Sus scrofa: one gene and its partners. The protein of the gene in region 5 interacts with the protein of the main gene of each other region in a pairwise test. Links are inferred from orthologs where the notes say so. Each region holds a gene or a part of one and is shown on either strand. Other genes may lie near its edges.

Region 1 (4,166 bases), on a different chromosome or scaffold from region 5:
AGATGCTACCTGCCCAGACACAAAGACCCCCTTCGGTTGGACTGGGCTCCTCAACCACCAGGCTTCCTTGTCTCTGTTTCTATCTCCCTCTGAACCTCCTGCTGTGACTGGGCCCCACCCTGAGCACCCTCCTCTTAGGGACTGGCAGGCCCCTCCTTAATGGGGATTGGGGGAGCCATTGTTCCCTTCTAGGCCCGGGATTGAGAAGTTGCCCCAGGGATTCACATAAAGAAAGCTGTATCTGGATGAATGTTCTTTACCCTCCAACCCATCCCTCCGGCTCTGAAGTGGGGGGTCCTTTTTCTCCACCCCCAGCAGACCGCCCCCAGCAGAGCCTTGACCTCGAAACTGCCTTTCCCTGCCCTACACCCCACACTCCCCTTAGAACCCTCTCTCTGGCCTGGCTCCTGCAGGCCCCCTCCCCACCCCCGCGATGGTGTCGGGGGTCGCCTGGAGTCCAGCTGGTGGCCATGCACAGCCACCCCTTTCCTGGCCCTGCCCCTCCCCATGACCCCGATCCTCCGCCAGCCACTCAAAGGCGCCTTGTTCTCCATCCAGCCCCCAGACAAAAGTCCCTCTGTCTAAAAAACGCAGAATTGGGGGGAGGGGGCACCCCAACGGGGACCAAGTGGGGGCCTGTACAGACCCCATCCGGAAGGAAGGAATGCCGCAAGGAGGAGGGGCAGGAGAGGGAGGAGGGCAGGGAGGGGAGCCTGCAGAGTGCAATGGCCTTATCTGGGTAAGGGGCAGCCCCTGCGCCCACTCCCGTGGTGTAGACATCCAGCTCCTGGCACCCTTAGGAAGAGCCCAGGCTGGGAAAGTCTGCCTGGTGCTGAGAACCAGTTCCCAGTCTCTCTAGGCCACGACGGGCACAATGGGGAAGAGGTCATGGTCTGAGGCCCAATAGCCACCCCCCACCCCCTCACCCAATCCCCCACTACACCCCGCCCCCACCTCATGACCTTGGTCCTATCAGCTTCCGCTGACCCTCAAACTGTGTCAACGGGAACGAGTGGCCCAGAAGAGGACTTTAGATCCCCCACGATGGCCACCAATCCTTCCTCCAAGGACAACACACCATCTAAGTAAAAGAAATTAGGTTATGACACCAAGGCATGGCCTTCCCCACTGCTGCTCCCTGTGAAAGACCGGAGCCTCTCCTCCTCCAGGCCTTCTTCTGAGGGGTGGGAGATGGGAGAAAGCCCCCGCCCCAGATGGGAGAGGCAGAGTTACAGCCTTCATCCTATTCTCCTTCTGCCTCACCTAAGCTGCTGTGACCTTGGAGACACGAAGATGCTCCCTCCCACTGGTGGTGGTGGTGGTGGTGATGGGGGACTGTCTCTTTAAGAGCAGGCTCCGGGCGAGAGCGCCCCTGAGCTTCAGGAGTCTGACTAGTTCTCTACCTGCCCAGGTTTGCTTAGGGCGTGGCAGCTACGGATAAAGGCAGGAGTTGGCTTAGCAGCCCCAGCCCGCTCTCTCCTGGAACCTGGAACCTCTGTGCAGCCCCAGGAACACGCAGGTGAGGGGGTCCCCTCCCTCCACCCCCTTCTTGGCTCTGCCCGCAAACTATCCCTGCCCCTCCCTCTAGTGCTCCCTGTTAATGACTCCTAGTGCCTTCCCCCTTCGAGGTCTTTTTCTGGGGGTGTTGACCAGAGAAAGCCCCCCCTCCCCATCATTCTCTTCTTAGGGGGCTGGGTGAAGCCGCTGGGATGAGGGTACGGCCCCAGATGGGACTGGGGTGTCTGGGAGACTGGTGGGTCTGGGTAGATCGTTGTTTCTGAGTAAAGAGAAGTGTCTGGGTTGGGGATCCGAGTGGATGGGTAGGTGACTTCATGGACTTGGGTTGTCTAGGGACTGGGGACAGGAGGACCCTCTAGGAAAAGGGTCTGGTGGCTTCCTGGGGGAGCTGCATAATGGGGAGGTGGGGAGATTTCAGGGACACGAGGGAGGCATTTTGCTCACACCGGAAGGGCCTGGCCCCCATCATGGGAGAGAAGCAGTAGGGCTGGATGTGAAAACAGTGCTTACACCAGAGTTGAGGACTCAGGTAAGAGCAGGGGTGGGGGGCATAGCCTCCATCTGCAGGCTGCCTTCCTCTCCAAGCCTTCACGCCACCTGCAGTCAGTTCCGGAGCAGCCTGGGGGCCTTCCTAGACAGGGAAGGGGAGAGCAGGTGTCCAGACACCAGCTCCCAGCAGCCCGCACCAACGGACAGTCGTGTGGAAATTGGGGGGGGGGGCAGCTGAGACCATCCATCAGTGCTCCCTGTGCTGGGGATGCTGGGAAATGCCTGGGGATGGGGTGCCTGGAGCCCTCATGGGCCAGGGGGCTTGGAGACTCTCATAGAAAGAGGCTTAAGTGCTGGGACTCAGAGCTCCAGGTGGCAGCATTAAGCTGGATTCATAGCGTTTACAGGCTTGCGACGTGAGCTAATCACAGAGCCAACCCCATCAAGCTGCGAAGATTATATGTGTGAATAAGTGAGAAGAGCCGAGAACAGAGCCCAGCGTGGGGCAACACTCAATCGCCACCAGCTCTTATTACTGGTATTAGTGTTATCGCGGGGTGACAAAGCCACACGTGTTCCCTTGTGACCACAAGTGGTCCTTCTATGGACCTGCGCTGGGAACCGCTAGGCTGTCCTGCCCACACACCCACTCCAGCTCTCCCCCCCCGCCCCCAGTTCTGGGGGGGTTCCTGAACACCTTACTAGTGTTCCCCAAAGCTACGCGCCCTCTTCCTGCAGGGAATGGATGCTCAAACTAAAGTCGTGAGGCTGGAATGTGGGATGAACTGGGAAGCTAAGAGGATTCCCTGGATCTGGGGTGGGCACAGGGAGATGGAAGGGTCTGTGAGAATGTGCTGGAAACAGAGACATGCAGGGTGGGGGCTCCATAGAGGCTAGAGAGAGAGTGAAACGGGACCCTTTCTCCGGCTGCAGACAGGAGACAGAGCTGGGAAGGTCAAAGGGCTTTTCACCAGGCTTAGGGAGGATATATGTTTTGTTGTGGTGGTTGTTTTCTTGTTTGGCTGCCCTTCGGCTCATGGAGCTCCCAGGCCAGAGATCAGATCCAAGCCACAGTTTCGGCCTTGGCCGCAGCGGAGGCAACGCGGGATCTTAAACCCACTGCACCCACGACCCACTGGATCGTCCCAGTGCTGCAGAGACGCCACCAGTCCCCGTAGCACCACAGCGGGAACTCCAGGGAGGGTATATGTTTTGTCCTCTGTGAAATGGGCCCTATAACCGATGACCTCTGGGATTCTTGGAGGATTACATGAACGAAAACTGGCAAGACCATCTGGCAGTGCCCAGCACAGGGTGGATCTAAGTGTTAGCTCTTGCTATCAAGACTGGGACAACAAACGCTGTGGCAGCGGGGCGGGGCCAGGGGACGCATAGATACCGGAGCAGGACAGGGACAGCAGAGTGTTCTTCAAGCTGGGCAGGCCGACCTGGGGAGGGAGGAAGTGTTTGCAGCCAGAGGAGTTTATAGGGGCAGGGGCTGGGTGGGGGGCAGTGATGGGTGGGGGGAGGGCAGAAGCGGGACAGTGGGGTTCAGGGGGAGAGTGGGACAGAAGGTGAAGCTGAGGCTGCTCCCAGGCCTGCCCTCCACCTCCCTCCCCTGCCCCCACCGAGTTCTCTCCTCCCCACATCCTGCCCTGAGCAGCCAGAGGAGCCAGCTCAGTGCCCAGCCCTGGCCCAGTCGAGGCCTGCAAATTCTGGGCAGGGCGGGCAGGCTCCGAGCTGTCTGGGGGAGACACTCCCGGAACCAGGCCTCCTGCCACCTGGCTCCCGGCACCCCATTTCCCAAACCATCCTGAGGCCCTGAGAGAGGTCGCAGTTGGGAACAGCCTCCACAGAGCAAGATCTGGTTTAAATTCCACTTCCCAGGAGTTCCCATCATGGCTCAGTGGTTAACGAATCTGACTAGGAACCATGAGTTTGGGGTTGATCCCTGGCCTTGCTCAGTGGGTTAAGGATCTGGTGTCGCCCTGAGCTGTGGTGTAGGTTGCAGATGCGGCTCAGATTCCGCGTTGCTGTGGCCCTGGCCATAGGCTGGCGGCTATAGCTCCGATTAGACCCCTAGCCTGGGAACCTCCATATGCCACAGGTGTGGCCCTAGAAAAGGCAAAAAGACCAAAAAAAAAAAAAAAAAAAAAAAT
Region 2 (3,500 bases), on a different chromosome or scaffold from region 5:
GGGGGGGTTGATTATACAGCATAACTGAAGGAAGTCTAACAAAGTGATGTTGAGATCTGGTTAGTAAATGAATATTAATTTTCTTCAGCAAAAAAGGTCATATATATAAATAAAAGATAATTTGTTCTAATTATATATCTGGATTAGTGGTATTCTATTGTCTTGGAAACACGCAGCAAGTACTGACTTGAAAAGAAAGTTAACGAATGTTATTGTGATTCAGTAACTTCCGAGATCCACTGTATTTCCCACTCTGCTGGGGAAAGACAATCAACAGGGCTTAAAGTACTCAGACGGACGTTTAGTTCTCTTAGAAAATTAAAGGCTAACAGGTCCGCCTGAGGCACAATCCAGGACAAGCAACACCAACAAAAACACACAGACTTAACAGGGACAATTCTAAAGAAGTTGAAGGCAGATTCTAAAAAATAATTTATATAAATACCCTTCCCTGTGATTTTCAGAAGGCGAATTTTGGTAACTAAATGATCAATCCCAAGGAACTTGATAATGCGTTTATTTCAAAGCCCTTTGCTCTATGGGGACTCTAGCAGACCTGAAAAACCACTGTGTCACAAATCAGCTATACGTCAATTATATCTCAATTAAAACACGTCAGAAATGACTGAGTAATTCAGAGCCTTAAAAACTTTCTTACACATGACCTTCCCCACACACTTTTTGGCAGGCAAAATGGAAGGGGCAACTTTGCAAACTCAGAGAACAGTCACAACTTCGTAACTCATGACCAGATAGCAAACAAATGTTTACTGAGAAACTACTGTCATTCTACAAAATACACTTACCATTTTAGGTCTAAGCAACATAAAGCCTTAATTTAAAAAAATGTTTATTTGTTCCTTGTGTATTTATTTGTATGTATGACACGCTATGTCTTTTAGTACACCATCGGACTGTATCAATAATTCTTTTTTTATTTCAATTTAACTAGCAATTAATAGATAATTTGTTAAATAGCCACTTTAAAAAGTAATAGCTGGGGGGTGGGGGGATGTGCTTGGGCTGTGGGGTGGAAATCCTGTGAAATCAGATTGTTATGATCATTATACAACTACAGATGTGATAAATTCATTTGAGTAATAAAAAAATTTAAAAAAAGTAATAGCTAACTTATACCACAGACATTTAAACTCATTTTGCTTATTCCTGCTATCTACTCTGTAACTAGGAAAAAGACCTGTATCATTTTTGCTCCTCCTTGCATGGGGGTAGCTCAGCCTGGATCTGGGAGCAGATCTGCCTTTCCCAGCCGAGAAGGATGAACAGGAGTTGAGAGAGCCTGCACTATTGCCAAAATTCTCATGGCTCCAGTCTCTGCAGAGTTATTACTGTTTATCTGCATTTTCAGGATTATCAAACATTCCACATTCAAATGTACACACACATATTCCAAAGCAAAATCAAAAATTTGAAGACACCATCTGTCTTCATTTGCGAATAACTGAGAAGTGCCTGTAAAAGCTTTTGCGGCAGCAATTACCAATCAATGGTACTATATTTCTGGAAGGTGGAATGGGGATGGTTTCAGGGGATGATTTGGATACGATCATGAAAAAAGAAGTGGTCAAGCCAAGAGTAAAACTGAGACACACTGCTTCCAAAACTGTCAAGTAATTCCACTGGATAATCCCAAACTCACCAGATTTATTGAATAGAACTGCATGGTCATAAATATCAGAAGCCAAGAAGATGAAACCAGGAAGTGGAAGGGCATGCTAGGGAAGAAACATTTCATGTAAATTTAAAGGCAAAAGCATTACAGAATAATTAGAGTACCTTTACAATGACTGAAAGTTTTACAAGCTATTTAACAAGCAGTATCAAGAAAACCACGTCAGACTTATTAAGTTAAATGCATCCAGGCCTTCTGACCCCTTGACATTGTACAGCATCCTCTCAACCCCCAAATTAGGGTTCTGGCCCTATGGAATCTGATGGTCACTACATACAAAACAAACAAACAAAATAGAGCCAGGATCCTTTCCTCAATAAAAAGGGAATGGAAATTGAAATACATTCTGCCCAAAGGATTTGCTACATTTTACCATTTTGGAGACTGCTTAAGCAAATATAAGGGATTTAAAAGCTAGATGAAATGTGAAAGCAGATTTTAGAGTTGAGGAAACTAGTGGGAAAAAGAGATAGGAGGACAATAATAAAGAGAGATTGACAAGGAAGGGGAAACAATAAGTAAGCAAAGATGAAGGCGTCTGACAACCACCCCCCACCACCACCACCAAGAGAAGAAGGAATCCCTACAGTAAACATTAACCAAGCAGTTAATCAGGTGCCAAGTACTGTGCTACGAGAGCCCAACAGAATACTTTTATTCTTTAAATTCCCCGGCCATACACTCTAGCTCCAATTAAATGTCTCAAATTGCTTGTAAGCAACTTCCACACAAAAAGGGAAGGGATCCCTGCGGTTACTGAAGGTGGAGGCAGCTCTATCCATGTGACACAGAGGGGAGGGACTTGGGCCTGAGCTCCAGAGGAAAGAGGGAGGAGAAAGAGGAAAGTTACAGGAGGTGGCTCAGATCAGCAGTTTCAAACAAGAAGCCTAAGTGTATATAATTAGCTAATTAAACTCCATCAAGGGAACAAAGCCCCTCTGAGGGACTTCTCCTCAGGCCCCTCTCTCTCCAACTCTCCCAAATGCTTCCCTGCACATATTCTCCTTGGCATGTGGTTTCTGGAAGTTCTATTCCCCTTCCAGGTTCCCATATTGCTTTTAACCTGCTTTCCTCCGAAGAGCACTGGGTTTCTTGGCCCTTGGGGCTCTCTCCTAGTTGGCAGACACGTTCTGTTCACACTGACTGATGATGCTCACCCCGTGTAGTAGAGAAGGGGGGCAGCCTATTAAAAGTGCCAAAGTCCGTGGGTCCCATTTTACTGGCTAATAAATTGATCCTGTGACTACATCAGAAGGACGGCCTATCATATCTGGAATAACGTATGACGATAACACCAATTCAGTCATTTTCATCTTCCCTGGGTTCAAGAAATGACTTACGTTATAAAACAAAGCCTCCTTGGAGTGCTTCCCGAACTGTCTGTAGAGAGTCTCTTGGAAAATACCCATCCTTGCTGACATCAGAAGAGCAAAAGTCAGTGCCCCAATACCTGAAAAGCAAACACTGGGTTACGAGATGCCTGCATTTGCTAAGTTCCAGATCTTTTCTTAAAGAACATTAAGCTCTACGAATATTACAAACTAAATGTGGAGCACATACAAAATTTACAAAGATATAAAAAGCAACCACAATATTACCATCCAGTCCTAAATAGTCTGCTATATCTCTCTACATAAACCTATGTATATATTTTATGCTAAGACAGGGTCGTAATGAATATATAATTGAGTATCTTGCTTTCTTCATGATCTTTTTCCTGGATTTCCCTTTAATTCATTAATTTAAAATTTTTTCAAAAGTATGATTTAATGGCTGCATATTATTCTGTCATACGGATAGGCCATAT
Region 3 (2,560 bases), on a different chromosome or scaffold from region 5:
GGGATCAGCACTTCCAGGCCCCTCGCAATCGGGTCAAGGTCTCTCCAACTCTCACAAGCCCTGGCTCTTCCCCCAGAAAGTGGCCCCCGGCCCCCCTCCGTTACTCTCTGGGATGGGACCTTCCTGAGGCGCCTTTAAAACGAGCAGAAAGTCAGTCTGGTTGCCCTTCGAGGCGCCTGGCAGAGGTCTCGAGAGGCTGCAGGGCCAGGGCCCCGCCTCTTCGGGGGAAGGTAAGCGGGGAGCGTGGGGCTCCCCTGGGCCCGGGCCCCCATCGGGACGGCCTCAGTGCTTTCAAGGTGTGGAGGTGGTTCCCGGCTCCTCCCGCGTCAGATCCCTGGACACGACCCAGCCCCAGCTCTGCAGGCGGCCGCCCGGCCGTGCCGCCCACCTGTCCCGCCAGGTCCCTGAGCAGCACGGAGGGTCTGGGCCTGCCCGTCGCCAGGGCTGACACCCGTGCTGCCCACGCCCACCAGGGCCGTCACGGAGAGAGACACCGGGCGGAGGGGAAATTCTCATCACTTTAATGGTCAACAGCTCCGGCTGGCTCTGGGTGGTACAGTTACCGGATGTTCTCAAGGACCCCCGAGCGCGGTCGCCCCCCCGCAGCGCTGCTCCCACCACATCCTGCCGCCCCGTCGGAAACCCGCACCGCCGACCCCGGGGTCGCGGGACCCACGTCTTCGTGGGCTGAGCCGAGCGCCCCGGGGCCCCGGTGATGTGTCCTTCCGTTCAGCGGACAAGCGTGAGGCCGGCCGCCTCCCGGCTCACACGGCGCAGAGCTCGTACACCTTCTTGACACAGTACACCAGGGCCGCCAGCGCTATCGTGTTGTGCAGTCTCTTCCTGTGCAGGTCGTCCTTGCGGACCAGCACCACCGGCGTGGAGGAGGTGAGCGTGTGCAGGGGCAGGCGCGACAGTTTGTAGGCGTCGTACTCCACCTGGTACTTGCAGCAGGGGTCGAACTGCCAGGAGATGCCGTAGAGGGTGCAGCAGGCCAGGCTCAGCACGCCCGCGGGCAGGGAGACGTAGTGCGAGTAATCCAGGGGCAGCGCCAGCGGCGTGAAGAGGCAGGCGGTGCCCGCCAGCACGGTGGTCTTGTGCAGGCAGTTGCCCACGGTGATCCAGCGGGCCGTCTCGTCGCCGATGCGCGTGGGCTCGATCACGATGTACTTGTACTGGGCCTCCAGGGCCTGCTCCAGCTCGCACTCAAACTGGTCCTGCGCGTTCTCCCCGCTGTAGATCTCGTGCACGATGTAACAGTCCGTGGCCGCCAAGCTCAGCCTGCGGGGGGGGGGCGGGAGAAAGGAGCCGTGAGCGGGGCGCCAGCTGGGGGGGCCCCGCCGAGCTCCGGAGGGCGCGCACGGCTCCCCGGGCCGCCCCCTTCCCGCCCTGCAGATGGGGCCGAAGAAGCAAGCCGTGGCCCACGAGAGACACAGCAAGGGGCCCTGGGGCTCCTGCGACAACATCTGTGAGGATGGCGGCCGACGACGGGGGCGGCCTGGCAGTTAAGGCAACGCAGGGTCAGACCCGTGAGTCAGCAAAGCCCCAGGGAGAGGGGGCCTCGGGCCCACGACGCGGGGACAGAGGCCTGTGACGGCAGGTGCGCCGTGCCCTCAGCCCACCAGGGCCACTGAGCCCGCACGGCCCACCTTCACGGGTCCGGCCGTGGTGGACGGAGAGCAAGCTGCCCGGGTCCTCCTGGGGCGGCAACGCCAAAGCCCCCCCAAGGGCCACCTGGCCGGGAGCGCCCCACTCAGTGCCTCGGCCTTGGGCGCTGGGATGAGGGTCCAGGGGCCTCGTGTTCCTGCCGCTCTGACCCTGTGGGCCCAGGACTCTACCTATGGCCACTGAAGGCGTCTCACCCACGGAAGCAGCCCATGCAGCGACCCGGCCTGCCGGGGACGTGACGCTCACCAGCAGACAGAGCCCAAGCCCGCGGGAGGCCTCAAGCGGGACCTCCCACGCCGGACGCAGGACCCAGCGCCTGTCACCCTCTGGCTCGTCCCCGCCCATCCAGACCCTCCACGCTGCCCCCCAGCACAGCCGGTTCCCCCAGTTTGGTCTTCACTGCTCATCTCGCAAGAAGGCTTCTTTACCCCGGCCTCTCCCAGCTGGACGGGTGGCTCCCTCTGCATCACGTCACCAGGCCCTGCGAAGCCACCTTGTCACCTGCCTTCCCTTCAGTAGCCCCTAGTCCCCCGACCTGGCTCCTGGTGGTCACTGTGCCCCCGGGTCCACGCCCCTCAACCTGGGGCTCTGAAGGGTGCCCCCCAGCAGCAAGAAGCACAGCGCCGAGGGCCCAGACTGCAGGACAGCAGCCCCGAGGGCCCCACGACTGCAACAGGCCCGCCCAGACCCTCTCCGTTCAGCATCTCCTTTACTGAAGAGGGCAGTTCCGTGTGCAGGGGGCAGAGACGGGGCTGCCAGGCAAACGCCAGGGGAAAAGGACTGGTGGCAGGAGAGCCGCCACTGAGTGCGCCTTCCTGTCGTGGCTCCCAGGTGGGGTTCAGCAGTAGAAGCTCCCCTGCAAGCAAATAAGCAAGGCCAGGAGGCAGGGCTT
Region 4 (3,500 bases), on a different chromosome or scaffold from region 5:
TCTCCCTAATGAAAAGTTAACAACAACCAAATGAGCCTTCCCAGGACCAAGCAAGCAAGCTTCTCATGGACTCTTTCAGATAACTGATTTCAGAACATAAAAGAACTCGTCCAGGGTCTTCAGAGTATTTATGAACCTCCTACATCAAGCCATTTGTTCCCTGTACTTCCAGCTCAGAACCATGAGAAAATGGTTCTTTCCTATCCATTTACAGAGTAGACTTGGGTCAGGATGTCACTGGAAGTTACAAACATGGACTGCCCATTCATCAAAGTTCCAAATGAGCCATGGCCAGGGAGCAGAAGTGATCATAATTTCATTTTTGATGTTTCCCTCTCCAGATCGTTGATACCTTTTTCATTGGCCGCTATGTCCTGCTGGCTTTCCTCACTGCTGTCTTCTTGGGGAGCCTCTTCTTGGTTCTAGTCCATCACATCCTGGAGCCAGTCTATGCCAAACCACTTCGGTCCTACTGAGCAACACTCAAGAAGACCAAGACCTTTCCTCCCCTCGCTTTGATATCATCAGTGAGCAGAAAGGTACTGTTGGAACGTTGTCTTGACAGCATTCATGCTTAAGATCAGAGGAACATCTATTCATCACTCAGACAAACCCCTTGAGTCCTGGCTTCCAGAAACATGGTTGCAGAATTGTCCCTGGGATCCTAGGAGAAATATTGCTGTCTTCTTAACACCTGCACTTCAGGTTTTCCATCTCTTTTGAGAGGGAAATGGCAACAGTGTCTGCTTAGATTTCAATCAGGCCATCAGCATGTGGATTTTGGGAAAAGGAGCACTTTGGTTTCTGCTGTCCAATAGAAGAACCTGGTCCTTTTTGATAATATGTAAAATTCTTAGTTAAAAGGTCAAGATCACTTGGAAAAGAAAGGCATTCAAAGTTGAAAAGTTCATTTTAAAGGGATGACCTGGGAACACATCCAGGTGCTGGATATGGAGCTCTCTGTGCAGACCATGCCTCAGGGCTCTGCAAAGGCCATGTGTCACCTCTCACTGTTCCAGGAAAGCCATCAACAGTGGCCGAAGGACTGCTTTTCACCTCAGACTCCTGGCCGCAGCTTTCTGAATTTAGCATTTCGAGTTTACTTGGGGATTAGAAGCAGGGTGTGGAAATGTCCCTTGTCTGTCCTACTGCTCTGTCTCTCTGGATTCTTTTTTTCCTAGGATTGAGTGACCTTTGTTGCCTTATTTAGTTACCATAACAGTCCATTCTGGGTTATTGTCATCTCTTTCATCGTTGTAGCTCTTTCTCCAAAGCCAGTGAGGAATGTATATTCCCGGGATTAGGCATAACTTTATACCTAAACCCCAGACCAAGTGAAATCTGTCATTAAACAGAGGGGCTCTCGGCTGCTTCCACTTTGGAAGTCTCATTGTGGCTCCCTAGAGCTATTTGAAAAAGGAGATTCTGGCTTAAAATTAAGAACCAGAAAACAATTGGAAAAAGAATTTTGATTGAGTACATGGTATATGCCAGTAGTACACTAGTCTGGGTTTGTTTGTTTGGTTGGTTGTTGTTGTTGTTTTTTACACAGATGTAGATGACGGACTTCCATGTTAAGGGCAAAAACGTACTTTGTACAAAGTGTATTTTAGCTCGGCCTGCCTTCTGTAGCTCCTGTAACTACCAGCAGTGGTGAACTGAATACTAGATCAATTTCTACCTTCATACTCAAAACAGTCATGTCCAACCCTGGGGGAAAAAAAAGCAAACCCACAGAGTTGGGATAAGAATAAAAGGCTGGGAGGGCACAAAGTTAATTTTACTGAGTTCTGCATGGGGCACCCTGATAATCAATAGATAATATTGGCACCCTTTTGTTCATGGCCTTCCTGGAGGTAGAGCTTAAATACAAATAGATCGTCTCAGTTTCCATTCATTGGTCTTTGATCAATGCCCCTAGAGCTAGTTGTGCTCCCCAGAAGGGATCCTGTGGCAAAGAGATGTAGTGATCCCACAGGGGAAGGGAGAGTAAATCTGGGCCTCCATATAAGAAAACAGGTAGGAGTTCCTGTCATGGCTCAGTGGAAGCGAATCTGACTAGCATCCATGAGGATGCATGTTCGATCCCAGGCCTTACTCAGTGGGTTAAGGATCTGGCACTGTGGTGAGCTGTGGTATAGGTCGGCAGCTGTAGTTCCAATTCAACACCTAGCCTGGGACCTTCCATATGCTGCCCTTAAAAAAAAAAAAGAACGAACGAAAGAAAGAAAACAGGTAATTTCATTGCCTCTTAAAATTGTATCCTGACAAAACCAAATCAGCAAGGCGCCACCCCCACCACGGAGACATTCGTCTGATCCGCTAGGTGGCGCTGTGCTGCATTTTAGAAGGCCCTCGGGCCAGCCAAACAACGCTAGGTTCTTTTTTAACAAGTTCCTTCTAGCTCTCATAAAATAGAAGTAAAGCTAACGTTCTTTACTGATGCACGATATCGGACATCTAAAAATTCTCCAAAGTTTTTGTACAATGTTCAGTTACTAGGGAATGCACTGCCCGTCCTCCACGTGCATAGAGCAGGCATTACCATTCATTCCGCCTTTACTGTGTTTACTCTGGATGTGAAGCCTCGTCCTGGTGCTGTAAATCACCCCAAGAAGGAGGCTCTGAGGCTCCTAGGCTGTTTCCCTCACTCCATCCTGGGATGAAAATGTTTTTAATTCTAACATAATCCATTTCTTGTTCTGTTCTCTAAGACATAAACTTTTCTATCAACTGTGTCTCTTGCTGCTGCTGCAGTTGAAACAGTTTTATTTTGCTCTGATTTTTATTTGTGTGTAAAGAAACCTGCTGCAGTTATTTCGTAGATGAGAAACAGGCAGAGAGATAAAGAGATTTTAAAAGTTTCACAGCTAGTTAGGTAGTGGGGCTCAAATTTGACAATGGGATCTTGTCACCTCATTTCTCAGGTAGTTTAAAGAGCAGTTTTGGCTTTCAAACAACTCCTTAGTTTTACATTGGGTAATACTATTTCTTAGCTATTTGCACCCACCATTCCCCTGACCCATATCCAAAAAAAGACAAAAGTTTCATGAAAGAATTCCTCATTAACATTTATAGTACAGATAACATTTTATCATAACTTCTTGGCTTAAACCTTTAAGTATTTGGCTTTATTACATAGGAGCAAGGTTCCAGAGCGGGGAATGGGAATTGCATAGAAGAGAATCTGAGGAAATGCTGATTATCTTCTCAGGAGCATAAAAGCTCAGGGTTGGAGGGCATTTTATAGTCCATGGAGTTCAATCTTTAGTCTCTATTTCCATCCCAATACTTCAGAATATCCTATTCTTTACATGCTGAAATCACAATTTTTTTTTTTTTTTTTTTTTTTTTGTCTTTTTGTTGTTGTTGTTGTTGCTATTTCTTGGGCCGCTCCCGCGGCATATGGAGGTTCCCAGGCTAGGGGTCGAATCGGAGCTGTAGCCACCAGCCTACGCCAGAGCCACAGCAACGCGGGATCCGAGCCGCGTCTGCAACCT
Region 5 (4,243 bases):
TGCCAGATCCTTAACCCACTGAATGAGGCCAGGGATTGAACCTTCATCCTCATGGATACTAGTGGGGTGCATTACTGCTGTGCCACAGCAGGAACTCCTGAAGTCTGTGCCTTTAATTCAGCTAAGGCAAAGGACACAGAACTAAGAAACTGGCAGGTCTTAGAAGGACCACCCAGGGTACTGCATGTCAAGTGCCTGGCGCAGCGCCTGGCCCGCACTAAGCCTAGTTCCTACCGTTAAAGGCCTCCCGGTGGCTTACATGCCTTTCTGCGTCTATAGCCAGCAACAGTGGGTACTTGGGAGCCTTAGAGGGGGGTTGCAACAGAATTCTTTGACCACCTGGTTTGAATTCTGCACCTGCCTGGAAGAGGGCGCCCAATACAAGTGCTTTCTCAACCTCCTTGCCCCAGTCGCCCCCCTCAGACCATAAAATGAACTTTCCTTTATCCCTCAGTCCCACACCCACTGCCCAACCATGAAGAAAGGCACAAAGTCAGGAATTGATGCTGCATCTTTTTTTTTTTTTTTACTTTTGCCTTCTTAAAGCATGTGCTGAGCGGAAGGGTGAAGCGGTTTGGCAATTAAAAAGGCCCAGCAGCTTGGGCAGCGGCAGGGGGAGGCCAGGTGAGGGGGGGGTGACCCTCTTTCCCCGGCCAGGGAGCAGCAAAGCCCGCACTAACTTCATAAAATATCAAACAAGGGGAGGGGGAAGGGAGGAGGGAGATTTGTAAAATACAATATCTTAGGGACTGGCAATAATAAAAAATAAGGTTCATTATTTACAAACAATTTCTGTTCTTGGTCTGTACAGTGGGGGGGAGGGGGTGTGTGTGGGTCTGTTGACGTGTCTGTGGGGGTGGGGTGGGGGGGGCAGGGGAGCAGTGGTCCTGTTGGTCATTATGAGAAGGGAGGGGGGAACCCAGAGAGTGGTTTATCTGAGGACGGATGGCTGTGGGAGCGAAGGGTGAGAGCAGAGTGGTTGGCCCAAGGGAATAGTCCAAATGTGGGCGGGGAGAGAGGAGAGGCCCCAGGTGAGATCCGGGGCAAAGATGGGCTGGGGAGGAGTGGAACCCTTCCTCCTGGGACGGGACCCCAGGGGGCAGGGGTGCGAGCCGGATCCGGGTGAGTGAGCAGGACAACCCCCTTCCGGGTGCCGGGGGGCCGTCCTGTGTCCTGGGTCTTGGCACAGCCTAGGAGAGTTGGATGGTGGTGTTGGGCTCCAGATCCCTGGAGGGAGAAGGGAGAGGAGAGAAGTTAGGGGTGACTGTCTAGCCCCTCTGCAGGGTGGATCTGGACGTGGGAGGGATGGTGGCTAGGAAGGATGTGGCCAATGACGTGGGGACCGGGGGGGGGTGCAGGTGGAGCCTGGGACCCCAGGAAGGGAAGAGCCCACCCACCCACCTCTCGTGGAACCACTCCTTCGGGTGGGAGAAGTCAGGACTGGTGCTGTTTCCGGCGACATCCTTTGGCCAGGCCTCACTCAGGTACTTGCTGGTCTCGTGGGTGCTGTCCAGGTGGTCATGCTGCAGGTGGTCCTGGGGGCGCTGCTCCGCCGGCCCCCCGGGCTTGATCTCCCAGCCGTCGGGGGGCTCCACAGGCAGCAGGGCGCTGCGACCATCCTCCCACGAGCCTGCCCCCTCGTCGTAGAACAGGAGGCTTCGGGAGGGCACTGAAGAAGGAGCTCAGAATGAGCCACGGTGCCAGGAGGCTCCCTCCCCATCCGGACCCCATTCTGGGCCTAGTAGTTAAGGACACAGGCCCCAGAATCTTGCAGGCCTGGATCTGAACCCAAGCTCTTACACTGTTGAACTGCCTGACTGCAGGCAACTCACGCCTTTGCTTTCACCCTTCTGAGCCTCAGTTTGCTCATCTGTAAAACAGGAACACGAGGGCCAACCTCATGTCATGTGAGGTTTAAATGAGATAATAGAGGCAGCGCAATTGAAACTGTACTCAGAGAAAGGCAGCTCTTCCTGAGCAGAGGGCAAGCACTGTGCTGGGGATCTGAGAGCTGGTTCTGATCCTATTGTACCCACTCATTTTCTGTGAGACCGTGAATCAATCTTTTCCTCATTCTATAGATTCCCTATTGTGGCTCAGCAGTAACTAACATGACTAGTATCCATGTGGATGAGGGTTTGATCCCTGGCCTCGCTCAGTGGGTTAATGATCCAGCATTGCCATGAGTGTCTGCGACCGCAGCTCAAATCCCACGTTGCTGTGGCTGTGGTGTACGCTGGCAGCTGTAGCTCCGGTTCAACCTCTAGCCTGGGAACGTCCATATGCCATGGGTGGCGCCCTAAATAGACAAAAACCAAACCAAACCAAAAGAAGCCTTTTCCCCATTCTAGGCCCTCGTTTGCCCTTCAGAGAAATGAAAAGCAAGAACACACATTTGTTGGATATCCGTTACCTACCACGCAGTGCAGGCATCCTTTAGTCTAGACCGAATCATTAACATCTCATAGAAACCCTTAGAAGCAGATAATAAATTTACCTCCATGTCAAGAATAGGCAACCGAGGCTCCAGGTTGTCAGGGACGTTGTCCCACTCTGGAGGCGAGATGCAAACCCAGGCCTGCCTGGCTCCTGTCATTCTCAGGACCCCGGCCTCACAGTCAGTGACAGGCCCTGGAACCATGCAGTGTCCCTGCTCTGCAAGCCAGCCTGCTCCAAACGTCATTTCTTCCCACAGACGTGTCCCCCTCTTTGCCATTGGGTTTGGACATTGGGTTTGAACCCCCCTGCATTCACCAGGGTCACCCCGAGGGGCTCCTCTGACTCTGATTTTGTCCATCAGTGCTTCCCCCAACCCCCAATTTCCATTCCTTCTTCTCCAAGGTTCTCTCTACTTCCCAACACACACAGGCCTCTCCGGCCTTGGAAAAATGGACACGTGGCGCTCCAGCCCTTACCTCCCTGCCGCCTGCCTCCCTTAGCAACTGTCCTCTTGTCTCCTGCTCAGGCTGCACTGGTCCAGGGAGTGGTGTTCACTCCCCACCTCCGCTTCCTCTTCCTCTAACCCTGCCCACACCGCTTCCTCCCCTCAAGGCCCAGCAGGCGCAGCTCGGTATCCCTCCTTCTTGAAACTCGCTCCTCCTCAGCATCTCTCTCTGACCTCCCATCTGTTTCCTCTTCCTCCTCCTGTCCCGCTAGATAACTCCCTCCTGGTAGATGAGGAGGGACCCTCCGGAAGTTCCTTTGTGGGTCTATCTGAAGTAGCCTCTGCCTCTGGAACTCCATACTACTTTTTGCTTGGCCTTTGCAGTTCTGCCCTTGTATCTTTTCTCTCCCCTTGGGAGCGCATCCAAAAGGGAGGGAGTGTGCTCATTTAGGAAGCGCCTGCTGTGTACCAGGCACTGTGCTCAGAGCCTACATGTGCTGTGTCATTTAGTCTTCATAACAACCATGCTCAGGAAGTGTGGAACTTGTAACTCCCACCTTCCGGGTAAAGAAACGAAAGCTCAGCATGCTTAAGACACATGCCTGAGGTCACACAGTTAGCAAGCGGTAGACATGACTGACTCTGAAGCTCCATGCTCTTTTCTGGGGGGCGAGGCATGCCCCCAGCATGCAGAAATTCCGGGGCCAGGGATGGAACCCCAGCCACAGCAGTGACAACGTTGGATCCTTAACCTGTTGAGCCACCAGGGAACTCCTGAAGCTCCATGCTCTTAACCACTGTACCTGACAATCCCTGGTGGCATGGTAAATACCTGAGCCCACATCACTGCTACCCCACCATTGCCCATGATAGAATTACCAGTGGATCCTGGCAGTCCATTCTGTTGATCCTGAACAGTGCCTCAGAGTCCTTCTTAACACAGTGCTTCAGGCAGCCACCACCACTCAATTGCTACTATGGTCGTGAAATACTGATGATGCTTAGCAGATGCCCCACAGCACCACAGTACGTGGGTCTAGGGTGGGATCATTCCTGTTATTCCCTAAACCTACCTTCCCCACCTCCCGCCAATGCTGGGAATTGTGGGCTATGCATTGTAGTCCTAATTCTATAATAACATTGAACAAATCATAGGCCCTCTGGGGGTCTCAGTCTCCCCAGCTACAAAATGAGGAGGCAGAATGAGAGGATGCCAACCCCAAGCCTTGCTCCTCTATGTGTCCGGATTCTGCCCATAAATTGGGGCCGTTTGTGGGGAGGGCACCCTGTGACCTGGAGATGGGCACTTGCCACCCGCCTCTACGCGGACTGAATCATGAGCCACTGCAGCGACTGACC
Region 6 (3,987 bases), on a different chromosome or scaffold from region 5:
TAAAAATGGCAGAGGTAGTCTACCTTCTGTACTGTCTCTCCATATTCCTCAAAACTACACTACGAGACACCAGTAGCAGCATAAATCCAAAGTAAACAGAGAAAAAGAAGGGACTTCCACGTTATATAAGGAAATGGCTTAGAGAATTTTTTTTTTTTTTTTTTTTTTTGTCTTTTCTAGGGCCCCACCCGCAGCATTTGGAGGTTCCCAGACTAAGGGTCTGATCAGAGCTGTAGCCACCGGCCTACACCACAGCCACAGCAACGTGGGATCTGAGCCGCATCTTTGACCTACACCACAGGTCACAGCAACACCAGATCCTAACCCACTGAGCAAGGCCAGGGATCGAACCTGCAACCTCATGGTTCCTAGTCAGATTCGTTAACCACTGAACCATGACGGGAGCTCCTAAAAAATCTTGATCTCCATTTTCTCAAAGCAATGAGTTCTTGCTTGACAGGCTGCATTAGAATTAGAGAAATTTTTACATATGCCTAAGAATTACAAATGCCTCAGATTCTGATTCAAATATAGGGTCTGGGAGTCTATTCTTAAAAAGCTTTCCAGACAATAACACTGTGATTATGTTAAAAATAAAGAAACCTCATCTCTAGAAATGTATCCTAAAATACTAATAAAGTAATATTTGATATGATAGTCTGGAATTTGCTTCAAAATAATTGGTGAGGGTAGAGTGGATGGGGGTATATAGGTGGTACAAATTCATTCATGATTTGATCATTGTTTAAACTGGATGACAACTATACAGGAGTTCATCACACTGTTCTCCCTGCTTTGAAACATGGACAGTGTTTCAAATTTTCCATGAAGTGTTTAAACAAATTCCAGCCTATTCTAATTGAGAACCAGTAACTAGTCCACTGAAGAGGATGGCCCCACTGCCACTGTTTCTATCATTTACTTGTATGATTTAGTATTTTCAGTTTAGAATTTGAAAGCTACAAACTATTAATATGCTTAGCTTTGGAAGAAAGCCCTTCCACGGATAACGTGACATTTCTGTGGCAGGCATGAGTGCAGCTGACTAGCAGAAAGATTGTTTACTCCAAGTTCAATAGTCAGCAAAATCTTCAGGAAAAGTGGCAAAATAATTACAACTACAATTGAAAAATGTTTAAGTGAAACATTTAGGGAAGAAATAAAGAGAGCACATTGAGTATAAAATCTTAGATTCTGAAGAGACTTTAAGAATTATCTGAATCCATTTTCTTATTTCATGAATAGCAAGACTGAGGTAAGGGAAAGAATGATCCAAATAGACTCCATTTCAAATAGAGCAACCTGCTTTTATTCAGGATGCCAGTTACTGCAGTCACCATTTGACAAATAATACATTACTTAGATCCTGAGTCATCAATGTAGGGAAGTGGGTACAAAGCTTTGAAAGAAAGCTTTGAAGAATTTTGAAGAAGTTCAGATGGCTGAAGAGACAGCCCAAATGTTGAGAAAGAAGTCCCGAAGTGGGAAAAGAAAGGAATGGAGGAGAAACACCGAGAAAACATCTTCACTTCTTTTTGTGATTATGTTCTCAGTTGGTACTTGAAAAAATAAACTGGAGAATCCATATTTCCCACGCTATCAACCTGGCAAATTATTCTCTCTTTAGGAAAGTAAATAAAATAAAACCCCACACTGGTAGGAAGGGATAAGTGACAAGAAACATCAAACAGACCCCCCAGCTGCTCAATCTGTTTTTCTACTTCATTTTATTCTACCTGGAGGAATTAATGTATTTAATGCCAGCAGCTCTAAAAGGGATTAGAAACATTCAGGTGGTAATCACATTGCTGTCAGCTCCAACTTTGCTTTTTGTGGGGTGAATACAAGTTTTCTCCTCCCTGAAACAAGTCCTTGGAATTGAGAACAAGGTCTTCAAGGCTGCTGTGGATTGTTCGTTTTCAGCGGTGGTAACATGATGAAGTACTACTGGGAAGTGGAGAAATTCTGGAATTAACCTGCTCTGGCTCTTGAGTAGCGGCTGGAAGAAAGAAGCAGCTCAGCCACCATAACTATAAAGTATGAGATGAAAATGAGCAGTCCACCAAATGATGTCCTTTGTTGACCCCCACTAGGAGAAATTATTCAAATAAGCACGTGGTTGCCACTCACAGCCATGCCAAAGGGGAAAAGGGATCTGAAATGCTGAGCTCTCAGAAGAGCAAAGATGATACTCAGACAGAGAAGCTGTCAGGAAACAGAAATTCATTTGCCCACCTCAGGGCAGATGAGAGAAACGGCCACCTAAATGTGGCCCTCAGGTAATCCACCCTCCCCAAGGCCCACAACCTACAAATTCATCGATACCCTAGCAAAGGGTACCCGTGTCTGTTGGGAGAACCAAGAGTTAGGTCTGTTGTCCTCATCCGAAAATGCGGCCAGCAGAGGAGTCGCCTAACAAGAACTCCACCTCCGGGCTATTTTGAGGCAGCGCGGCGAAAGGAATGATCATTCAACATCGCAGTCCCCGAGAGAGCCTTTAGTTCCCAAAACCATAACTCAGGTCAGTGTGATAAGAAAGAAATCCCCAAACGGAGGAGGAGCCCCGACACCCACCCTGCTGCAGCCTCGCCCCCCGCTGGGGGCGTGGGAGCGCTCACCTTGGAGTCGGGCAGGCTGAAGAGGCTGGGGTCGTCGGTGCTCCCCACCATGATCTTATGCTCCTTGCCCGGGGCATGGCCGCCCGCGCCGTCAGCGCGAGCAGCCTTGGCGCCGTGGCGCTCCCCGGCCACCCGCTCGCTGGCGGTGTTTCCCATGGCTGCAGCTCGGAGTCGGGGGCCACCTGCCGTGCGGAACACAAGGCTAGGAACACCCCGGCGGCTGCGTCAGGAGCACCCCCGGCCCCGCCCCTGTGCCTGGGGACCCGGGCAAGGGAATCCCCGCCCCAGGGAGGCCGTGCCCGGGGGACAACCTCCCCCTCCCCGGCCTCCAGAAGCGCCCGGAACCCCCAAACCCCCTGGTTGCCGGCGGCTCAGGAAACTCGCTTTCGGGAACTCCCCCTCATCCCTGCGCTCACAGTCCAGGGGCGCCCGCCCCCGCCCAGTCACCTCCTGTAAATTCTCCCTCCTCCCGAGGCCAATGGTGCGATGGCTGTTCCGCTGAGAAGCCACCAATAAAGTTATTGAAATTGAAGCCGCGCCCGGGGCTAGCGAGCCGCGGTTCCTCCTAAAATGGCCACGAGGCCAGCGGCGCGGTGCCCGCCTAGCGCGCACTCCCTGTGGCCGTACCACCGCGGCGCCCGGGGCCCGCCGGCCTCTCTAGCCACCGCCGGCTCGATGGTGGGCAGCGGCGCGCAGCCTCCAGGGCCACGCGGGGGCGCCCGCTCCGCAGTCCGCGGCACGCAGGGCTGAGATCGCTTCACTGGCGAGGCTGTGCTGAGACTCGGTTGGTTGAGCCCCAGGGCCTGCCCTCCGGAGGGGGTGGTCCCCGAGTGACTCCAGGGCTCCGTACCCAGAGGAGCGACTTTGCCTTTCTTTCTTATGTTGTCTTTCTGGGGGGCTTCCCTGAGAGGTGGGTTTCTACAGGAATCAAGAAAGCGGGCTTCCAACAGAAGGCTGAGGAAGTAGTGGTAATTGCTAAGTGCTGTGGGAAGCAGTCAGCTGGACTGGAGCCGCGGGGAAGGAGGAGTGATGAGGAGATAAATCTTGACAAATGGTTAAACTTCGTCTAAGGAGAAGGAGAAAGCCCTGCAAGGCTAAGAAACAGCACTTGGTATGAGCAACCCCTGAAGAAATGAAATTCAAGAAAGAATGGAAACATCAGAAAGAACATTAAGGCAGAAACGGGCAGCGACAGGCCTCAGGTTGTGACTCATTCACGTTTTGAGTGATAGTTAATGAGATTGCTATGGGATTTACTCATTCTTCCTTTGTGTTATTAGACGCACGCATGTTTCATGACCTACTGGAAGCTCTTGTCACTCAGCCTGTGTTCTAGTGAGGAGCAGCATGGGCGTCACCTGGGAGCTTG
Region 7 (4,248 bases), on a different chromosome or scaffold from region 5:
CCAGGAAGGAGACCCTGGCCTCCAGTGTCTGCCACCAGACCCCTAGAGAGGCTACAGATCATGGAAAAGCTCTGGGCATCCAGGAGCCCTTTGCAAACCCGCTTCCTCTCCTAGACACACAGATGAAGCCAAGGAGAAATGAAGAAAGCACGCCTGGGAGAGACAGGCTAGCCTGGCCCTCTTCCTGCCCATCACCATACCTACACTTTCTAAACTCACCTGGCCCCTCTCTTTCATGCTCCTTCTGGCTTCCCTCTCCTCCCAGCCCCCACCAGGCTTTGTCTCCTCTCCCTGTCTCCCCTGCTCTCCTGGCAGTCCCTAGCGGAGGCTCAGAGCCTCCGGCTGGTCCCGGAGCTGCCTGACACTCTGTTATAAGCAGGAAGATCTAGGGGCAGAGCTAAGACCCCTGGGCTGGGCCAGGAGCCTCAGGCTTTCTTGGGTCAAGGCAGGTAGAAAGCAGCTGTGGAGAGATTTAAAATCTGGTCCATGCCCAGGCTCTTACATCTAGCACCTAGGAGAGGCGCCCTCTGAGAGAATCTGGAATTTCTCTCCATCTTCCTCTGGGAGGTTCCTGGGGAGATGTTTCCTCCTGGCCTTCTGAGTCTCCCCTACAGGCACCTGGGCACAGAGCTAGATAAGGCAGGAAACTGCCCTCTCTCTTTCAGCTGGAGGCCTCTTCAGAAGTACTCGTGTGTGTGTGTGTGTGTGTGTGTGTGTGTGTGTGTGTGTGTGTGTGTGTGTTGGAGGAAGCAATGGTATATGACATTGTGGGTGTCTGTGAAAGCACACACAGTGCAATGGTAGGGTGGACACTTAGCATTGTGGGTGGTGTGTTGTGGTGTGGTGTATGTATGGCGTATTAGGTGTGTATGTGGTATATATGTGGTCGATACATGTGTTGTGTAGTGTGTTTGTGTAGTGTGTGTGGCAAATAGGATTGCGGTGTGTGTGTGAGTATGTGCATGGTGTGGCAAGTGTGTACATATTTGAGGTGTGTTTGTGACGTGTGCTGTGTATGGGGGGGCAGCTGGAGTGGGTGGGGGCCACATCAGTTTGAGGTGGGAGCTAGCTCCTCAGGGTCTCCTACCCAGTGAGGTCGGGGATAACCAGTATCTAGGCAACCATGTTGGGGGGAGGGGAGGGGATATGGAGGTGAAGCATGGGCAGGAAAAGGAGGGAGGCTGAGAATTGGAGTTTCCATGGCAACTACCGGGCAGGTCACGTGAAAAAGGCCAAGTTGCGGAAACACATCCACACATATAAAAAATGAGGGCGCTGGGCCCCCAGAGTGGGAGGGGTCCTTCCACAGAGGACAGGGGCTGCCCACTGATCCATCTCCAAACCTGGAAATCTGGGGGGCGCCCTACGCCAAGGAGACAAAGGAAGTGGAGACAGAGGCCACGTTCATGGGGAGAAGCCCCAACAGCCACAGGCCCCTGAGTCCGGAGGTGGGCAGCAGGGGCCTGGCCAGGCCCATTTCTGCACCGTGGCTGCTCCCTGCTCCCACCCTGGGGAGCTTCCTCTACCAGCCACCACTTGTAAGAGCCCAGAAGCAAGTGCCTGGAGCCCCAGGCTGCCCTTCCATCTCTGCACTGACGCCCAAGAGACACAATGGGAAAGGCTCTGCCAGGGGCAGCACCGCTGGGGAAAGAGGGCTGGGCACTAGGAAAGGAGAGGAGGGGACAGGGCCCCCTGGAAGAAGCTGGGGCTGGTTAGACAAGGGGAGAAGAAAATTGATGCAAACACTCTCATCAATCCCGCGCCCTGGAATTTCAGCCCTTCTTTACCTGCCGCCCCCGCCCTCGCTTGTGCCTACTGCCCAGCCCCAGCTCCCCTTGTCCCCCCAAAGCTCCGAGCCCATTTTGCATGGCTCCTGTGTTCACACTCACAGCCAGCCACCTTCCGTCTTCACATCTGCACACTCCACTCAAGTGTCCAGAGCTTCCAAGTAACAAAGGGAAAACTCCCCCTGGATGTAGAGGGGAACAGCTCTTTCCCCTTCTCCCAAAACCAGTGCCACAAGCTCCAGGCAGCAGCAAGTGCCTTTCCAGTACAGCTTCGTCCCCACCGACACCGCCTGCCTCCCCTCCGCCCCTCTTCTCTTCCGACGCCCACCTCCTGGTCTCCATCCACCACCCGGTTTCCGCCGCCCAAGCGGCAGCGGCCCCGGGAGGACCGCTCACACCCACCGAAACAAACAAAACCTAGCAGCATGCCGGCGCCCTACGACCCGTCCCCACCCAGCCTCTCTCCCTCCTCGGAAGAACCCAACTTTGGCACCTTTGCAGCCGCTTACCTGCACAGCGCGGTCCCCTCCGGAGACAATCCCAGGAGGACGTGCCGAGTCCGGAGGAGCCTGGGAGTGGCGGGGCTGGGGGCAGGGCGATGGGCGAGGCTTTCCCTTTTTTCCGCCTCCCCTCCCAGGAAGGGCTGGACGGGCTGGAGTGGCGCGTCCTGCAGGGGTGGGGACTGGTGGGCGGGGTCTCGTCCCAGCTGGGCTCCGGCGACCGCGGTGTCACCGTCCGCTGGCCTCCGGGGAGCGTTTGCACGCGGACCCTCTCCCCGTCGCCGTGCTGCCCGTCGCCCGCCGCTCCGAGCGCGCTGCCGCGGCTCCCGGGTGCGGGAGGGATTCTTTTTCAAAGGGCGGGCGGGCTCCGGGAAGCAACAGGAGAGCGTCGGCGAGGGGGCGGGCCAGCCCCGGCGCGCACCCGCCGCCAGCTGTTGCTCCGTGCTTTTCCTCGGCTGAGGGTGGGGAGGGAGCGAGACAAACACGGTGGCAGAGCTAGTGCCTCTCCCAGATAGTAAACTGGGGGGAACAGAAAAATACGAGAAAATAACCCAGCACCAGACACAGCAACCCACGTTAATTGGGAGGCCTGGCAATTAACGGGGAAGTGCACCTAAGGCACGAATGGCTGTGTCGTGGGCGCGAGGCGGTTCTGGTTGGAGTTGTCATTTTCAGCGAGAGCCAGGAGGGGTGCTGGGGGCGGGGGCTCGCCGGAACCACAGATTCGCTGCCCAGATCCCCCTTTTCAGGGCCCCTCATCCTGTCCCTGCCGGCTCACAGTACCTCCCCCTCCCCAGTCCCCTCCGCAGCTCCAAATTCCAGGCGACAAACTGAATTAGAAGATTTAAATGCTAGCTGTGTGTCTCTACCTGTGATGTGACCTTGAGCACATCATGGAGCGAAGCTCTTAAGCCTCAGTTTCCTCCCTTGTGAAAGGGATGTGAGAACACTGACCAGCCCCCACCCCACCGGGAGGCTGAGCCCTGCGCTCAGAGGGAGTGCTGGGTAAGCAGGCATCTCTACTGAGCGAGCGGCGGGAGCGGGGCCTGTAGGAAGGGCCCTGGGCCAGGCACTGGCAGAAAGCACGGACATGGACACGGCAAGGGCTGGCCCCTCTGTTGTAGCCAGGAAGCCCTGCTGTCGGCAGTGAGGCTTCTAGCCTGAGCCGCGATGGAGACCAGTAGGATGAGGGGTGTGGGGTTCCTGAGCAAGGCTGTAACTGTCCAAGCCTGAGAGGGGCTGCAGGTACTTCCACACTGACCCCGAACCCTGGGACCGTGGGTACTGCCAGGAAGAGACTCAGCCCTGGCCTTCAGTTTTCTCCTTTGTGAATAAAGGAGATGACTAGGTAAGCCAGAGCCTGCTTCCAAGATCAAGCCCTAGGTGCTTGAATTATTGTAACACATGCCCAACGCTAGATCCTTAACCCACTGAGCCAGGCCAGGGATCGAACCCGCATCCTTACAGAGAAATCATTGTCACACAGCAAAAATCAATACAAGAATCAACCGCATCCTTACAGAGAAATCATTGTGTTCAGATTTCCCAGCGACTAGGAGCATCCATATGACCCAGTTCTGGCCAAGGAGATGGGAACAGAATATTAAATATTCTTAAATATTTTTAAATAGTAAAAAATATTTAATTTAAGAAGGCATCCCAGAATACTGAGGAAAAATACTAAGACACAGTAATACGTATCTTTTGCCCTTTGTCTTTTCTTCTTCTTCCCCTTTTTCCACTACTTCCCCTCTTCCTCCCCCTTGTCCTCCTTCTTTTTTTTTAATCAAAGCATAGTCGATTTACAATGATGTGTTAGTTGCTGGTGTACAGCAAAGTGATTCGGTTATACACATACATCTATACACACACATACTTATATATTCTTTTTTAGATCCTTTTCCATTGTAGTATATTACAGGAAATTGAATGTTATCCCCTGTTCTATACAGCAGGACATT

Evidence for each region.
Region 1: the proteins of CREB3L1 (region 5) and FXYD3 interact in binary tests that used the Homo sapiens proteins (3 or more experiments, as listed by UniProt). The two-hybrid records come from large-scale screens. The link is inferred for Sus scrofa from reciprocal best matches to the Homo sapiens genes CREB3L1 and FXYD3.
Region 2: the proteins of CREB3L1 (region 5) and SLC35B4 interact in binary tests that used the Homo sapiens proteins (3 or more experiments, as listed by UniProt). The two-hybrid records come from large-scale screens. The link is inferred for Sus scrofa from reciprocal best matches to the Homo sapiens genes CREB3L1 and SLC35B4.
Region 3: the proteins of CREB3L1 (region 5) and TMEM11 interact in binary tests that used the Homo sapiens proteins (3 or more experiments, as listed by UniProt). The two-hybrid records come from large-scale screens. The link is inferred for Sus scrofa from reciprocal best matches to the Homo sapiens genes CREB3L1 and TMEM11.
Region 4: the proteins of CREB3L1 (region 5) and TMEM218 interact in binary tests that used the Homo sapiens proteins (3 or more experiments, as listed by UniProt). The link is inferred for Sus scrofa from reciprocal best matches to the Homo sapiens genes CREB3L1 and TMEM218.
Region 6: the proteins of CREB3L1 (region 5) and PRKAB2 interact in binary tests that used the Homo sapiens proteins (3 or more experiments, as listed by UniProt). The link is inferred for Sus scrofa from reciprocal best matches to the Homo sapiens genes CREB3L1 and PRKAB2.
Region 7: the proteins of CREB3L1 (region 5) and FXYD6 interact in binary tests that used the Homo sapiens proteins (3 or more experiments, as listed by UniProt). The two-hybrid records come from large-scale screens. The link is inferred for Sus scrofa from reciprocal best matches to the Homo sapiens genes CREB3L1 and FXYD6.

Annotation. Positions count from the first base shown.
Region 1 is NC_010448.4:44,646,405-44,650,570, forward strand, and holds the start of FXYD3 (FXYD domain-containing ion transport regulator 3), read left to right. Parts: upstream 1-1,366; 5' UTR 1,367-1,519; intron 1,520-4,166. UniProt on the Homo sapiens protein: Associates with and regulates the activity of the sodium/potassium-transporting ATPase (NKA) which transports Na(+) out of the cell and K(+) into the cell.
Region 2 is NC_010460.4:14,904,322-14,907,821, reverse strand, and holds part of SLC35B4 (UDP-xylose and UDP-N-acetylglucosamine transporter), read right to left. Parts: intron 3,144-3,500; coding exon 3,034-3,143; intron 1,737-3,033; coding exon 1,661-1,736; intron 1-1,660. UniProt on the Homo sapiens protein: Antiporter that transports nucleotide sugars across the endoplasmic reticulum (ER) membrane in exchange for another nucleotide sugar.
Region 3 is NC_010454.4:61,350,302-61,352,861, forward strand, and holds the end of TMEM11 (transmembrane protein 11, mitochondrial), read right to left. Parts: intron 1,282-2,560; coding exon 765-1,281; 3' UTR 501-764; downstream 1-500. UniProt on the Homo sapiens protein: Plays a role in mitochondrial morphogenesis.
Region 4 is NC_010451.4:52,275,267-52,278,766, reverse strand, and holds part of TMEM218 (transmembrane protein 218), read left to right. Parts: intron 1-341; coding exon 342-476; 3' UTR 477-3,500. UniProt on the Homo sapiens protein: May be involved in ciliary biogenesis or function.
Region 5 is NC_010444.4:16,185,706-16,189,948, forward strand, and holds the end of CREB3L1 (cyclic AMP-responsive element-binding protein 3-like protein 1), read right to left. Parts: intron 1,670-4,243; coding exon 1,402-1,669; intron 1,228-1,401; coding exon 1,191-1,227; 3' UTR 501-1,190; downstream 1-500.
Region 6 is NC_010446.5:100,377,357-100,381,343, reverse strand, and holds the start of PRKAB2 (5'-AMP-activated protein kinase subunit beta-2), read right to left. Parts: upstream 2,801-3,987; 5' UTR 2,775-2,800; coding exon 2,619-2,774; intron 1-2,618. UniProt on the Homo sapiens protein: Non-catalytic subunit of AMP-activated protein kinase (AMPK), an energy sensor protein kinase that plays a key role in regulating cellular energy metabolism.
Region 7 is NC_010451.4:45,215,450-45,219,697, forward strand, and holds the start of FXYD6 (FXYD domain-containing ion transport regulator 6), read right to left. Parts: upstream 2,801-4,248; 5' UTR 2,297-2,800; intron 2,064-2,296; exon of another isoform or gene 1,890-2,063; intron 1-1,889. UniProt on the Homo sapiens protein: Associates with and regulates the activity of the sodium/potassium-transporting ATPase (NKA) which catalyzes the hydrolysis of ATP coupled with the exchange of Na(+) and K(+) ions across the plasma membrane.